3 linked regions of the Saccharomyces cerevisiae S288C genome follow. Changing the gene in region 3 together with the main gene of any one other region gives a genetic interaction. Each region holds a gene or a part of one and is shown on either strand. Other genes may lie near its edges.

What was found.
Region 1: mutations in AIF1 (region 3) and YDR262W together harm fitness more than expected from each alone (negative genetic interaction), as found in Saccharomyces cerevisiae (one large-scale study listed by BioGRID).
Region 2: mutations in AIF1 (region 3) and PMT7 together harm fitness more than expected from each alone (negative genetic interaction), as found in Saccharomyces cerevisiae (one large-scale study listed by BioGRID).

Annotation. Positions count from the first base shown.
Region 1 is NC_001136.10:990,086-994,452, reverse strand, and holds YDR262W (uncharacterized protein), read right to left. Parts: upstream 1,320-4,367; coding exon 501-1,319; downstream 1-500. Other genes in the region: exodeoxyribonuclease DIN7, read left to right, coding at 1-211; YDR261C-C (gag protein), read left to right, coding at 2,104-3,426.
Region 2 is NC_001136.10:1,072,971-1,078,353, reverse strand, and holds PMT7 (putative dolichyl-phosphate-mannose--protein mannosyltransferase), read right to left. Parts: upstream 2,490-5,383; coding exon 501-2,489; downstream 1-500. Other genes in the region: SRB7 (Srb7p), read left to right, coding at 1-327; PFU1 (Pfu1p), read left to right, coding at 3,183-4,619; HNT2 (bis(5'-adenosyl)-triphosphatase), read left to right, coding at 4,866-4,952, 5,042-5,383. UniProt on the Saccharomyces cerevisiae protein: Probable protein O-mannosyltransferase involved in O-glycosylation which is essential for cell wall rigidity. Transfers mannose from Dol-P-mannose to Ser or Thr residues on proteins.
Region 3 is NC_001146.8:776,563-782,350, forward strand, and holds AIF1 (Aif1p), read right to left. Parts: upstream 2,177-5,788; coding exon 1,040-2,176; downstream 1-1,039. Other genes in the region: COS10 (Cos10p), read left to right, coding at 3,354-4,478; YNR075C-A (uncharacterized protein), read right to left, coding at 4,949-5,041; seripauperin PAU6, read left to right, coding at 5,356-5,718. UniProt on the Saccharomyces cerevisiae protein: Putative FAD-dependent oxidoreductase involved in the resistance to cercosporin and other singlet oxygen-generating photosensitizers. Translocates from mitochondria to the nucleus under apoptotic conditions, where it degrades DNA and induces apoptosis.

The sequences.
Region 1 (4,367 bases), on a different chromosome or scaffold from region 3:
TAGAGAAAGAAAATTAAAAGCAAGAAAGCTGTTTAAAGTAGGTCTACTTGGGGGTGAATCCAACTCATTCAATAAGAAAGTGGAGCAACCGCTAGTGGATACGCAGGACGTGTTATCGGAGAGGGAGAATTCTCTTGATAACAAAAACGCATCCTCTATTTATATGACCTCACCAGCAGCGATCTCAGGCACCGTACCATCAATTTTCTAAGTGGTGTATATATATGTTCGAAGGTATTGTTGTAATATTTTCATAGTTGTATTCTTATTCCACCGGCCCCAGCTAAGCATTAATATAAGGATTCGTAAAACAAAATTATCGTTCACATACTAGAGAAAATATAACTATAAAACAAATTGATACCAATGTATATATTATGTTGTAAACTCCATAAAGATAGGCCGATCCTACTCGCCATTATTAATAAATTATAACCAAAAAAAATAAAGAACGCAATTTGTATGGGGTCAAGGAAGTCAAAACCATAAGCAACACATAACTAAGGACCCACCAGGGTGAAATCAACCATCAAAATAACACCATTGCTTCCATTTTCAATGCTCTCGACGGCATGAAATTTCTCGTCTCTGGAGGAAGCTACATAATATACTTCTCCTTCTTTTTTGAGTAAAATATCACCACCAGTTTCCGAATCGCTTTTCTTGCTTTCTGTGAAGTCAATACTCTGCAGGAGCGTACATCCTGGACTCACCTTCTTGTAGGAATTTTTATCATCATTGTACACTACAATATGAGATCTCACAAATTTGGAGATATTCTCTTGTATTGCCGTATCAAGTTCCTTCTCGGTGGCACCATCACTTTCAAGCTTATCAATATTATTCGGAAATTGCCACGGTTTTAAAGTAAGCTGAGAGACAGCCCTGTTCGTTGGTGCAATAATAATCAAATCTTCGTTGGGGTCACTTACTTTGTTATATGTTTCAACATCATTTCGCACATAGCTTGCAAATATTTGGACCTCGTTCACTAATGACAACTTTGATTCTAAGGATAAAGGAGACAATTCAGCCAAAAACTCTTGCTGCTTTCTTTGCTGTGTCCCTAAAATATCATCTAAATTCACTGCGGGTCTTGAAAAGTCACGCATTCCCTTATATCCTAATGGATAAGAATTTACTTGAGAATTATGTAGCCGGGGCGGTATTTCCTCTGGTGCTAACCGCTTGTGCAGCTTGCCATTTGAATCTTTGAAAGTAATTAAGTTGACGACGTTCTTACCTCTTACGAAACTAGGCTCCATTGCCCATATCAAAGAAAAATAAAGCAGCACACTAACAGGTAGATTGAATATCATGGTCGTTTTGTAAGTTTTTATATTATAAGGAGAAGTTATGAAGCAAAAGGGGATGACCGTCTAGTTGTTCTTGAAGATTAGTTAGCCCGATGACCGGATTTATTAACAAAAAAAACTGCTTAATCATTATTAACGGTGATATAAAATATTGACTGAACGAATGCTGAGTAGGCGAGGCAGGCACCTAGTCTCTAAACCCTTCATATTGATCGCTAATAGTTGCTAAAAAAGTGCGCAAGCCCGGAATCGAACCGGGGGCCCAACGATGGCAACGTTGGATTTTACCACTAAACCACTTGCGCTCACAATTGTTGGATTTGTTTTATCATCGACATACCATACCTCAATATGACAATAAATCATGCTAAATGTTCATAAATCACATATGAAACAATTCTTGCACTTCAGCTTCCTCTAACTTCGATGATAGCTTCTCATAACTTATGTCATCATCTTAACACCGTATATGATAATATATTGATAATATAACTTGTTGGAATAAAAATCAACTATCATCTACTAACTAGTATTTACGTTACTAGTATATTATCATATACGGTGTTAGAAGATGACGCAAATGATGAGAAATAGTCATCTAAATTAGTGGAAGCTGAAACGCAAGGATTGATAATGTAATAGGATCAATGAATATTAACATATAAAACGATGATAATAATATTTATAGAATTGTGTAGAATTGCAGATTCCCTTTTATGGATTCCTAAATCCTTGAGGAGAACTTCTAGTATATTCTGTATACCTAATATTATAGCCTTTATCAACAATGGAATCCCAACAATTATCTCAACATTCACCCATTTCTCATGGTAGCGCCTGTGCTTCGGTTACTTCTAAGGAAGTCCACACAAATCAAGATCCGTTAGACGTTTCAGCTTCCAAAACAGAAGAATGTGAGAAGGCTTCCACTAAGGCTAACTCTCAACAGACAACAACACCTGCTTCATCAGCTGTTCCAGAGAACCCCCATCATGCCTCTCCTCAACCTGCTTCAGTACCACCTCCACAGAATGGGCCGTACCCACAGCAGTGCATGATGACCCAAAACCAAGCCAATCCATCTGGTTGGTCATTTTACGGACACCCATCTATGATTCCGTATACACCTTATCAAATGTCGCCTATGTACTTTCCACCTGGGCCACAATCACAGTTTCCGCAGTATCCATCATCAGTTGGAACGCCTCTGAGCACTCCATCACCTGAGTCAGGTAATACATTTACTGATTCATCCTCAGCGGACTCTGATATGACATCCACTAAAAAATATGTCAGACCACCACCAATGTTAACCTCACCTAATGACTTTCCAAATTGGGTTAAAACATACATCAAATTTTTACAAAACTCGAATCTCGGTGGTATTATTCCGACAGTAAACGGAAAACCCGTACGTCAGATCACTGATGATGAACTCACCTTCTTGTATAACACTTTTCAAATATTTGCTCCCTCTCAATTCCTACCTACCTGGGTCAAAGACATCCTATCCGTTGATTATACGGATATCATGAAAATTCTTTCCAAAAGTATTGAAAAAATGCAATCTGATACCCAAGAGGCAAACGACATTGTGACCCTGGCAAATTTGCAATATAATGGCAGTACACCTGCAGATGCATTTGAAACAAAAGTCACAAACATTATCGACAGACTGAACAATAATGGCATTCATATCAATAACAAGGTCGCATGCCAATTAATTATGAGAGGTCTATCTGGCGAATATAAATTTTTACGCTACACACGTCATCGACATCTAAATATGACAGTCGCTGAACTGTTCTTAGATATCCATGCTATTTATGAAGAACAACAGGGATCGAGAAACAGTAAACCTAATTACAGGAGAAATCCGAGTGATGAGAAGAATGATTCTCGCAGCTATACGAATACAACCAAACCCAAAGTTATAGCTCGGAATCCTCAAAAAACAAATAATTCGAAATCGAAAACAGCCAGGGCTCACAATGTATCCACATCTAATAACTCTCCCAGCACGGACAACGATTCCATCAGTAAATCAACTACTGAACCGATTCAATTGAACAATAAGCACGACCTTCATCTTAGGCCAGAAACTTACTGAATCTACAGTAAATCATACTAATCATTCTGATGATGAACTCCCTGGACACCTCCTTCTCGATTCAGGAGCATCACGAACCCTTATAAGATCTGCTCATCACATACACTCAGCATCATCTAATCCTGACATAAACGTAGTTGATGCTCAAAAAAGAAATATACCAATTAACGCTATTGGTGACCTACAATTTCACTTCCAGGACAACACCAAAACATCAATAAAGGTATTGCACACTCCTAACATAGCCTATGACTTACTCAGTTTGAATGAATTGGCTGCAGTAGATATCACAGCATGCTTTACCAAAAACGTCTTAGAACGGTCTGACGGCACTGTACTTGCACCTATCGTAAAATATGGAGACTTTTACTGGGTATCTAAAAAGTACTTGCTTCCATCAAATATCTCCGTACCCACCATCAATAATGTCCATACAAGTGAAAGTACACGCAAATATCCTTATCCTTTCATTCATCGAATGCTTGCGCATGCCAATGCACAGACAATTCGATACTCACTTAAAAATAACACCATCACGTATTTTAACGAATCAGATGTCGACTGGTCTAGTGCTATTGACTATCAATGTCCTGATTGTTTAATCGGCAAAAGCACCAAACACAGACATATCAAAGGTTCACGACTAAAATACCAAAATTCATACGAACCCTTTCAATACCTACATACTGACATATTTGGTCCAGTTCACAACCTACCAAATAGTGCACCATCCTATTTCATCTCATTTACTGATGAGACAACAAAATTCCGTTGGGTTTATCCATTACACGACCGTCGCGAGGACTCTATCCTCGATGTTTTTACTACGATACTAGCTTTTATTAAAAACCAGTTTCAGGCCAGTGTCTTGGTTATACAAATGGACCGTGGTTCTGAGTATACTAACAGAACTCTCCATAAATTCCTTGAAAAAAATGGTA
Region 2 (5,383 bases), on a different chromosome or scaffold from region 3:
GAACGATTGACCGTAAATGAACCTCAGATGTCCGATAAGCATGCCACAGTAGTACCTCCTGAGGAATTTTCTAACACGATAGATGAGCTATCCACGGACATTATACTTAAAACAAGACAGATAAACAAGCTTATTGACTCGTTACCTGGTGTTGACGTTTCAGCTGAAGAGCAATTAAGGAAGATTGATATGTTGCAGAAAAAGCTAGTTGAAGTGGAAGACGAAAAAATTGAGGCCATCAAAAAGAAGGAGAAACTTTTAAGGCACGTTGATTCTTTAATTGAAGATTTTGTAGATGGCATTGCAAACTCAAAAAAGAGCACATAAACTTAAGTTTTACAAAGAAATTTGCGAACAGAGGACAGAAAATGTACTATAGTTATATGGCAGAGTTAAGCGTATGTATGTTATTCTTATAAATAATTGTGCTACTCTATTTGTACCGGAGAATTATTGAAGCAATGGGAGAAAAATCATAATGGAGAAAATCTTTCTACGAGTTACTTTGCAAGGCAATCTAACGATTCTAAAAGACACAATACACTAAAGAAAAAACTTTGGAAGTACAGTTTTTTCCCCAAGTTGAAGTGTGGACTCATTGTGAAGATGTAAAAATGTAAAAACCAACCGACAATGCACTCCCAGCCAAATTCATTGTAGACCTCCCATTTGATAGAAAAGGAAGGTTCAGCAGTTGTCCACGGATTCCAAGATATCATTCTCTTACATTGCACGCACATGAAAATGATCATCGAGAGTAAGGATCCATACCATGCAAAATTAAACCAAACTGGAGAGTCTGTGTCTAACGTAATTGGCCATTTTTCCACGGCGAACGCATCTTCAAAAGTGACCTTATTTTTACCGTATTTAATATAGTAATTGTACTTGTATTGTTTGAAAATATATTCTTTGAAAAGATAAAGAAATTGTGACCAAGATAAGGTATGATTGAATTCTGCTGAAGAACTTATTTTGCCGATATAATATTCTATCATTGGGACTTGGAAATCGACTGGTAGTTGTACTGAGTCTATTAGAAAAGTGGTTCTTGGTATTACTGGGTACTCCATACATAGGACTTCTTGCTCAAAGCGGCCCCATTCAGGTAACCGAAGATCATGGCCCAATAGCCCACATCTCTGGCCGTTATTGTAAAAGCGTATCTCTGATTGAAGCGGTTTAATGTATTTATCATCTGCGTTATCCTTTTTATCATTGTTGATTTCATCTTTAATCAGGAGAACATCCCATCTCTCATCCATTCCTCCTTCGTAGTTTGAATCTTTCGTGCATGAAATTTGAAAGTCATAGTCCTGCTCGCTGATGGGAGGTTTAGCAGTGCTGGCTCTCAATAATTTTCCAGTAGATTTGTGTCTTAGTTTTATACTTTGACCAAATTCTACAGGTATCAATTGATCAGCATGGTATACCTCAGAAAAACTCAAATTTAATGTAGGATGTTCTATTAACCATTCATTGTCTGCCGCGAATTCTTCAAATGATAACGCTACTAACTGTTCGTCAACATCTGATGGATACGAAATATCGTGAGAAGCAAGATATCCGACCATAGAATCTAAATGACGTAATGTGATCGTTGATCCATAGTACAATCGACTCGGTTGTACTTGAGGGCCTCTTAAATAGGACTTGAAATATGTGCTCATATATTTTGAAAATTGTGGCGTGTCTGTCTTAAAATTCGAAAGTAAGTTCGAATAACTTATTATGAAGATGGAACCAGGGATAATCAAAACGAATAATAGACAGAGAATGACAAATTTTATTATTTGGATGGTCGTAACTTTAACGTCGCTTATCAGTCTATCAAATTGACGTACAAAAGAAAGAATTACGAAGGCCCAAGTGACAATTCCAATAAATTTAGAAGAGATTGCCAGCCCTAAAGAAATAGATAATGTAATCACATTAGCAAACCAATTCGTAGTTCCCAGTTTTGCAATTGAAATGCTTATAAAACTGTAAATTACTACTGAGAACAGACACCATTCTAAACTGTCAAATGATATAATAGTGCCCTCATTTCTGAAAGTTTCCCAGTTGGATAATATCAGCAAACCTGTTGCTGAAATTAAACGAGAGCAATTGATTCTCCTTGTTATCAGGAAAAGAAAACCTAAAGTCGATGAATTCAAAAACAAAGAAACGTATCTTAAATTTTCTGCGATCTTTAATCTTCGAATAATGGAGTAGAACTGTATTGTAAATGGTGGCAATTCATGGATGTAAAAAGCCTTGTCTAGGTAAAACTGAATTAATTGGGAAAGTTCTTGTTCACTATTATTGTCCCATGGTCGGTTCCAGAATGAAGAAGAGTGCGATTTCCATATTAATGTGAAATTGGTAATAACAATCAAAAACGCGAAAATATAATCAAGCGTCTTTAAGTGACCAATTCCACATTGTTGGAAAATATTATAGGGAATGTACTTTCTGTAGGGCCCCTGTAATCTCAAGTCCTTCATGTTTTGTAAGTTAATTTTTTTCTGTTCAAACACTATCGCCCTTAAGTGTCTACGTTCTTATTCTCCTTAAATAATAACATTTTTAGTATTCGATTTTCTATTTTTCCTTTCTTCATTACTTCATTACCAAAGTAAGAGTGACCGATGTAGGAAGCAATATTGAAAGGAAGGGAAGGGGAGCACAATGAAACAAAGGGTTAGTGTGATGAAAACGACAGGAAGTAACTATAAGAAGCAGTAAAGTTGAGACTTGCTGCACCATTTTTATTGCCACACCTTTATTAGTTCTTTATGAATCCTAAGCTGTCATCCGTAATATTGTTCCAATAGTGTAGCGGCTATCACGTTGCCTTCACACGGCAAAGGTCCCGAGTTCGATCCTCGGTTGGAACATTTGTTTTTTCACTACTACTATATTTTTAGTTGAATCCTAGGCCACATTTAATTGACTAATAGACTTAAGATCGAGATTAGTAATCTTCTGACTTTTTTCTACTGTGTAATTGTTGAATGATAGTCTCTATTTTATTGTTAAAGCCCTGCGGCCGGGTTACCTCTTCATGAGGGGTAAGGGTTGTCAATACAAGATGTGTCTAGTATTGAGAGTAATATGACGGCATCGTCAAGATTTGTACATCGACAAACATGTGCAACAGCTCTAACACATAATCATATCAACCACAGTACTCAGTAATGGCAAACAAATCACGACCCAAGAAAATCAAGGCTCCTTACAGGAAGTACGTGGCGGGAGAGGGTTTCTCCTCTACAAGAAATGATAATAAGGCTAAAGAATTCACTATCACTATACCGGAGGATGCAGAACTCATTGAGACTCCACAGGGGTCTTATTACTATGATGAAACCAATGATACTATAGTGAAATTGACACGACTGAGTAATGAAAAAAAGGATAAAAAAGGACGTAAGCAGTCGCCATCGTCATCATCGACATCGTCCTCCAAAGGAGAAAAAAATGGCAAAGTCATAGAGAGTGAGGAAGCGAGGATGCATTCAGTATCAGTAAAGATGGTTTTGCCATGGGAGATACAGCATAGAATAATTCATTATCTTGATATACCAGAGAAAGAAGAAAAATTAAATAAAACTGCTAATGGAAAAAAAACTACGACTGGTATAAATATGAACTACTTACTAGTTTGCAGAAACTGGTACGCCATGTGTCTACCAAAGCTTTATTATGCACCAGCGTTAACAAGTAAGAATTTCAACGGGTTTGTTGATACAATAATCATAAATAAAAAGAAGAATTTAGGACACTATGTTTTTGAGTTGAACTTGTCTACAATTTTACAAAGTGGTAGAAATTCATTTGTCTCCAAGCTTTTACGACGATGCTGTTCTAACCTAACTAAATTCATCGCACCACAGACAAGCTTTGGTTACGCGCCTTTGATTTCATTGAAATCGTGTCATGATTTGAAATTTTTAGACTTGGGTTTAGTATCGGAAACAGTTAAGCTGAAGGAGTTATTTTCTGCCATTAAAAATTTCACTAAATTAACGCATTTATCTTTTCCCAGATCGTCGATTGACTGCCAAGGGTTCCAAGATATTCAATGGCCACAGAATCTCAGGTACTTGAAATTGAGTGGAGGTATAACAAATGAATTTGTGATTGATACGAAATGGCCAACAACTATTACAACTTTAGAATTCTCTTATTGTCCTCAAATAACGGAATTGTCTATTTATTCGTTGTTATCACAGATCGGTGATAATTTAAAGCATTTATTTTTTCATTATCCGATGCCATCTCTGGCAGAAAATTCCCTAGACCATGTCTTCACGTACTGTGCTAATTTAATTTCTTTGCAGCTCATGGTTGATTACTGTTCTAAGTGGTGCTTTTCTGAATTCATGCTAAGTAAATTGGTGGAATATGATAGGCCTCTTAAAACATTGTACTTAGAATGCAGCGGATCCTTGGGATTAGCTTCTAAGATTCATCCCGATGACTTGACTATAGCCATACTGGAATCCAGGCTGCCCTGCCTAAAGAATATTTGTGTTTCTCCCAAGCTGGGGTGGAACATGAAAAGCGATGAAGTCGCTGATTTGGTAGTCTCTTTGGAAGATCAAGATGGCAGTTTATATCTTAATTATTAAAATGTTCATTGTTTGTTTTATAAGAGTCAGTGTTTTCTTTTAGACACTATTAGGAAGAATTATTTTATCCGGCCTAAAAAAAATATTTTACATGCAAACTTGCATATATTTTGCCATTGACACCAATTAGAATGTGTAATTTTCCTGGTTTATACGTTTCTCAAGATATGGTCGAATCTTCTTTTCTGCTCAATTGTAAGAAGCGAAGAAAAAAAGGAAGCTCCATTGATCTATCTTGGGCTCAGAATGATCTTAAGCAAAACAAAGAAACCTAAAAGCATGAATAAGCCAATATATTTCAGCAAGTTTCTTGTAACTGAACAAGTTTTCTATGTATGCACTCTCATATGTTTTTTTGTACCCCATTCGCACCATTGCGTTACTAACTATATGGAGACCTTATAATCTCTGCTTCTTTACAGAAGTCAAAATATACGTATGCATTGGTAAACTTGAAACCAATTGTACCCGGACATGTACTGATCGTTCCACTGAGAACTACGGTTTTAAACTTATCAGATCTGACCATGCCTGAATCTCAAGATTATTTCAAGACTTTACAGTTAATACATAGATTTATTAAGTGGCAATATAAGGCTGACTCTATCAACGTTGCCATCCAAGATGGACCTGAGGCCGGACAGTCGGTACCCCACTTGCATACACACATTATTCCACGTTATAAAATAAACAATGTAGGGGATTTAATATACGATAAATTAGATCATTGGGATGGTAATGGGACTTTGACTGATTGGCAAGGA
Region 3 (5,788 bases):
TTTGCGATGCCCTCTCCGACCACCACAGCAGAATATACGAGGTATCCGTCCATATATCCACCACTGATGCGCAAGCTTAATTGGTTCACGTCCGCACGAAAAGTTTATAAAATGACGTATCATGGGGGGGAGTGTTGAATCAAAAAAGTGGCGAGCTAAAAATAAAAGAAAAGTGTACGTGGAATGAACTGTTTGCTGAGCTCATCCTACGGTCATTTTAGCCCGTGCCAAGGGAAAGTGACTATACGGTGGGGTATCGCGGGGTAAGGAGACTCAGGTACAAAGGCAAAAATCAAGATAGGCACATAAGAAGGCACGAAACTACCCCACGTTTCAAGTTTTGCTATATCCCTTATTTATTGCGCGCCCTGCAGGAAAATAAGTTTTAGGCACTTAAAAAATAAAGTTCCCGGGGTCAATTTCTGGTAGTGGCAAGCAAAGTATACTGAAGTTGGCAAGCAACACGTAGCCTCTGCATATATCGGCCTTTCTCGGAATGAAATAATCAAAAAAATATTATGCGGGAAGCCGCTGTTTTATTGAGCATTCTAATGCTTTCTTTTTCCCAGCACCTAAACCACACAATACTTTACTCCAGTTCCGTATTTGCCCCTCCCATGGCATCACGCCTATACCTTAACTGTTAATTCTCACCGTCCCCATTATACTAGGTTTAAAAAAGAAGGTGGTCAATCCTGTTGATATCTGTATCTCTATATAACAAAACTTCGGTATAAAACATTCACACTTCGAGTAAAATCAGTACCTATCTTCATGGACCCTCCAAAATGTCAAATTGTTATCAAGCGATTGATAACTCTAATGCACAGGTGTAATACCGTTTTACTACTGTCAAAGAAACTACATATAGTGTGAGAATCCAAAGCTAACATTTTCGAGTAACTTCGGGTTTTAATAGATTATTATCTGAATGCGAAGTTCAACATTTGTTGTTTCCAGCGGCCTTCTTTGTTTCACAATACAGAAACTAATATATATATATATATATATATATATACGCTGCAGTTCATATTTTAGTCTATTTTTTGAATAAAGGTTCCATTTTGTCGGAGAAAAGATTCTTCGACTTTGCTCTAGAAATTAAAAACGATGGAATATTAATCGTCCCAAGTAACGGTAGTGGAAATTGGCCAAACCCTGCATTTGGCCCAAGGGAGACACCACTTGGGGCATGTCCTGTCTCAAGACAATCTGCATCAACGAGACTAGCCTCTGTTCCTTCTTGTAAAGAACTTATAACATTTCGGGTCAAAACATCAACCCAATTATCTCTTTTAACCAATCCGTGATATCTAAAATTCGTTACATCACCAATGGCAAAAACGTTTCCTGCCTCAACAGCTTTTACCCTGAAGTTTTTTTCAACTTGAATGAACCCTTTCTTGTCACAAAGGTCTGAAATACTGTTGACCGGCACATTTGGAGAAATACCAACGCCTCTGTAAATCAAATCAGCATCTATATATTTAGATGAGCCCTCACCTAGAAAAATACGTTTCGGCGAGGTGTCTAAAGAAGCCCCTACTGTGTTCAAGTACAACGTAATACCATTTTTTGAGAGATAGTCTGTCACATTTTTTCTTAGGGTATCGTTGTATAACCCAGAGTCCGGCAGTAGCTTATCGGAATTATGAATAATGGAAATACGCTTTTTGCCAGACCTGATCTCCTCCAAATACTTGAATAACAATTCACCAGCTAGTTCACAATTAACAAAGCCACCGCCAAGAAAAAGTATGTGATCTGCATCTGAGATTCGAGAAGCCTCTCTTTCAAAATACTCTTTATAGTTATCCCCGAAGGTATAAGTTGAACCAATTGGATCAGCCCACTTTGAGCCAGTTGCAAGAACCAAGATATCAAACTTTATGGCCCTGTCTGACCCCAAAACTACCTCCTTATCATCAAAGCTGGCAGCCGTATCTTTGATAACTTCAATACCACTATCAAGAACATTTTTTAACGGCAGGATCGACTTGGTATAATCCTTTGAAACCGTCAAACGGACAGCTGAGGGTAGAAAATACACATAATTAGATGCTGTGACGAGCTTTATTGCGTATGTCCCACCCAGTTCCCTGTACAAGTGATTTGCCACAGACACACCAAACACACCAGCACCAACAACAACTATGTTCTTTGTGTTAATTGTCATATATTTTGCAATTTCTTTCTTCCTTTCTCTGCTCTTTCCTGTAAATAATGAAGAACAACGATGAGGAAATGTGTGTCTATCAATGATTTATCACTGCTTTCGTTTCTAGTCTGCAGCAGCTAATATATTAATACTTATAATAGGCTTCATTTGTCCAGCCAGATAAAAAGGACTAATCATGCAGGGTGGACATTCAATTAATTTTTATCGCTTTTTAACGATTACTAATCCAGTATTACCAACTACAATCACTCAGTCATGTATCACTAATAACGAAAAGTAAGCTGTACAATGCTCATCTTCCTAGCACTACTAGTACTGCTACTATGAGACACCATTGAAGTCTTCTTCAAGACCCCCATTATGAGAACACTTGGCTCACTATACAATCGGCGGGAGATGGGTTGTTATTATAGAGAGTTTCAGGAAAAGCACTCCTAGATTCTAGTCAAGTACTGCCTATTGTATAAGAGACGAGGGCACGAGATAGCGCAGTATTTTATGATGAAAATATGAAAATAAATACTTAACTCATTGAGTAAGCTTAGCTGGGCAACTTAACTAACAGTCAAAAAAAAAAAAAAAAAAAAAAAACAAGAGCCAGCAAACTGACATTAACATTGATCAATAAAATAAGAAAAAATGTACCAGAGAATTCGATTATGAACTGATGACAATATCATTAAAGACTTTGCACAGTATTCAAAAACTAATCGAGAGCTTTGACCAAAAAGTGTCCCGACTTTATAATGAGACCGCCGCTTAATTCATAGGAGTTATATGGTATGCTTTGGAAAGCTATTACATTGTTTGATAATTCAAAAATAAGCCACAATACTTCACCTATTGTGTACCATGTATTATAAAACATCGCAGCTCGTATCTGTAAACATACATTGACTTACATTTTAGTGATAACTTGGGTACTTGAGTGAAGTCCATTTCTCCCGTGCTTCCGGAACATAAACCAACATAGATTCTCTTTCACTCGAAACTGCTCGAAGCTGTTGCTCTTTTTTTGATCGTGGCTTTAACTATAAAACTCAACAGCTGCGTGATGAACGCGCTGTCAACAAATTTCATCTTGCGAATTATATAAAAAACACTGCGAGTGATTAAACCTCAGTAAACTTGTTACGTACCTCATAACATTAATGTGAAATACACTATATTGAATATGGGGGAAGAGATTAGACTTTTGTCCTCTAAAGGTCTTGAGACCCATAGTAGCTTTTGTTTGCCCGAGGATATTTTCAGAAACCGTTTAACATGGTTGTGCAGTGAGATTCGCAACTCAGGATTTTGGATCTGGTCGCTATCATGGTTACCGCTTGCCGTTTGGTGGGGGATGGCCAGTACTTGGTTTTATCCCCTTCTGACTTCAGTAGTTCTAATCCTGGCGCTAATTGCTATTTTGCCAGTAGTTCAAATACAGTACAGTAAATATACTTTATCAAATCAACTCACCCAGCTTTCTAAAGAAATCATCAAAAGTGCACCAGGTGCATACTCTGCTGATTGGGACGCTGTTGCAATACATTTCAATTCCTACTTGTATGAAAACAAAGCATGGAAAACTGCACATTTTTTTTTTAATGGTACTGACTGCCAAGAAGCATTCAGGAAAACCATTCTAGAGCCAGCTGTTTTGAGGAGACAAAACGAAGATCCTAGGTTCAGTTCAATTGAGATTTTGGTCCCTTACACCGAAGACGCGGTGCAGGTTTATTTTACAAAAGTAAACGCACAGTGGAGGTTGATCCATGGTAAGAAGGAATGCAAACTTACTATGTTGGAAAATGTCAAGCTTCCTAAGGAAACCTATCGCTGCAAGCTAGCATGGAGTTGCCAGAGAATCAGGATTTCTTTCTCTCCACTAGACTTCCTTCCTGATATGTCTGACTTCTTTATTTGTGCAAATTTATCACCAGCATGCTTGGTATCTTATTGGCTAATAGACATTTTCTTTAGAATGATAGATGATTTTCAAAACATAAGGCCTAAATCGATGAAAGTTGATGATAAAATGCAGTACCTATCAGATATTATAAACGAGCAGGGTGCTAGCCCTGAAAAATGGGATACAATTGCAAGGAAAACGAATACACGATTATTTGAAAAGAGGGTCTGGAAAAACGAAGAGTTTTTCTTTGATGGGACTGATTGTCAGGCATTCTTTGAACGGAACTTTAGTAGCCTTTTGTTCTCAAAAAAATCTGCGTCGCCTAGATCATTAAACGTTGAACTTTGGAAATACATTCAAGAAGCGCAATTGAGCTGTAACTATGAGCCGTTACCATAAAGATAGAAACATTTATTTTGACTTAGAAGCTACAAGGAGGATCAACTATTAATATTTTTCCTAGAGAACATTTTTAAAATTGGATTCAATAAATTAGCGCCATCTATTGCCCTTACACTTTTCTCCTTCATATCTGGCTAGAAAAGGGGGGGTTACATCTCGGAATCAAATATTTTCCTCTGCGTCGAGTTTTAATCCTGCTTCTGGTTACATTCTTTTTTATCATACACGATTCTTTGAACATCAACTTCTCTCAAAACCATCCGCCTTCAGCGGCTACAATTACGTAATTGCACCAAGGCATTCGCGGAGAATTCACGAATTTGCAGACGCCAACAGTATACGACTCCCAACACACGTCTAATATCTTGTACGGATTTCAAGAGATAGAAATATTACTTCCATGGAAGCCGTTTAGAGCAGACTGAATATGGGCTTAGACAATAAGCTTCTGAACGAGGGTCTTAAATCTAAATTCGGATTTTCTTTTTGACCGAAAGCGGAAACTTCGCAGGCGCGCAAAAGGGGTTTTCAAGGCACCTCGGCACCCCTATAATTGGCATTCTCACATTCTGCGCATACGAATACACATGAGTGCCATAAAACAGTACTCCACATACGAAGTCTATCAAAGATGTATGATTCGTTCAAAAACAAGAACATCTTCATAGTGATAATGAGATTGTGTGAAAGATGAGATATGGAGAATATGTGAGGTGCTAAATGAGCATCTGTTAACGAATCGTTTAAGTAGTGATAACAGATGGAGGAACGGGTATAAATAGAGCTGCTTCAACTATATGCCTTTGAGGTATGCGCTTTCATTTCACTATTTCTTGTTAAGATTACATCAGCACTAACAAACAAAACAAATACAATGGTCAAATTAACTTCAATCGCTGCTGGTGTTGCCGCCATCGCTGCTACTGCTTCCGCAACCACCACTCTAGCTCAATCTGACGAAAGAGTCAACTTGGTTGAATTGGGTGTCTACGTCTCTGATATCAGAGCTCACTTGGCCCAATACTACATGTTCCAAGCCGCCCACCCAACTGAAACCTACCCAGTCGAAGTTGCTGAAGCCGTTTTCAACTACGGTGACTTCACCACCATGTTGACTGGTATTGCCCCAGACCAAGTGACCAGAATGATAACCGGTGTCCCATGGTACTCCACCAGATTAAAGCCAGCTATCTCCAAGGCTCTATCCAAGGACGGTATCTACACTATCGCAAACTAGGGAGTGATGCCTTTACGAATGAAAATCCATAGACAGTGAAAAGTAATGAAAAAATAAAATAAAAAACTAC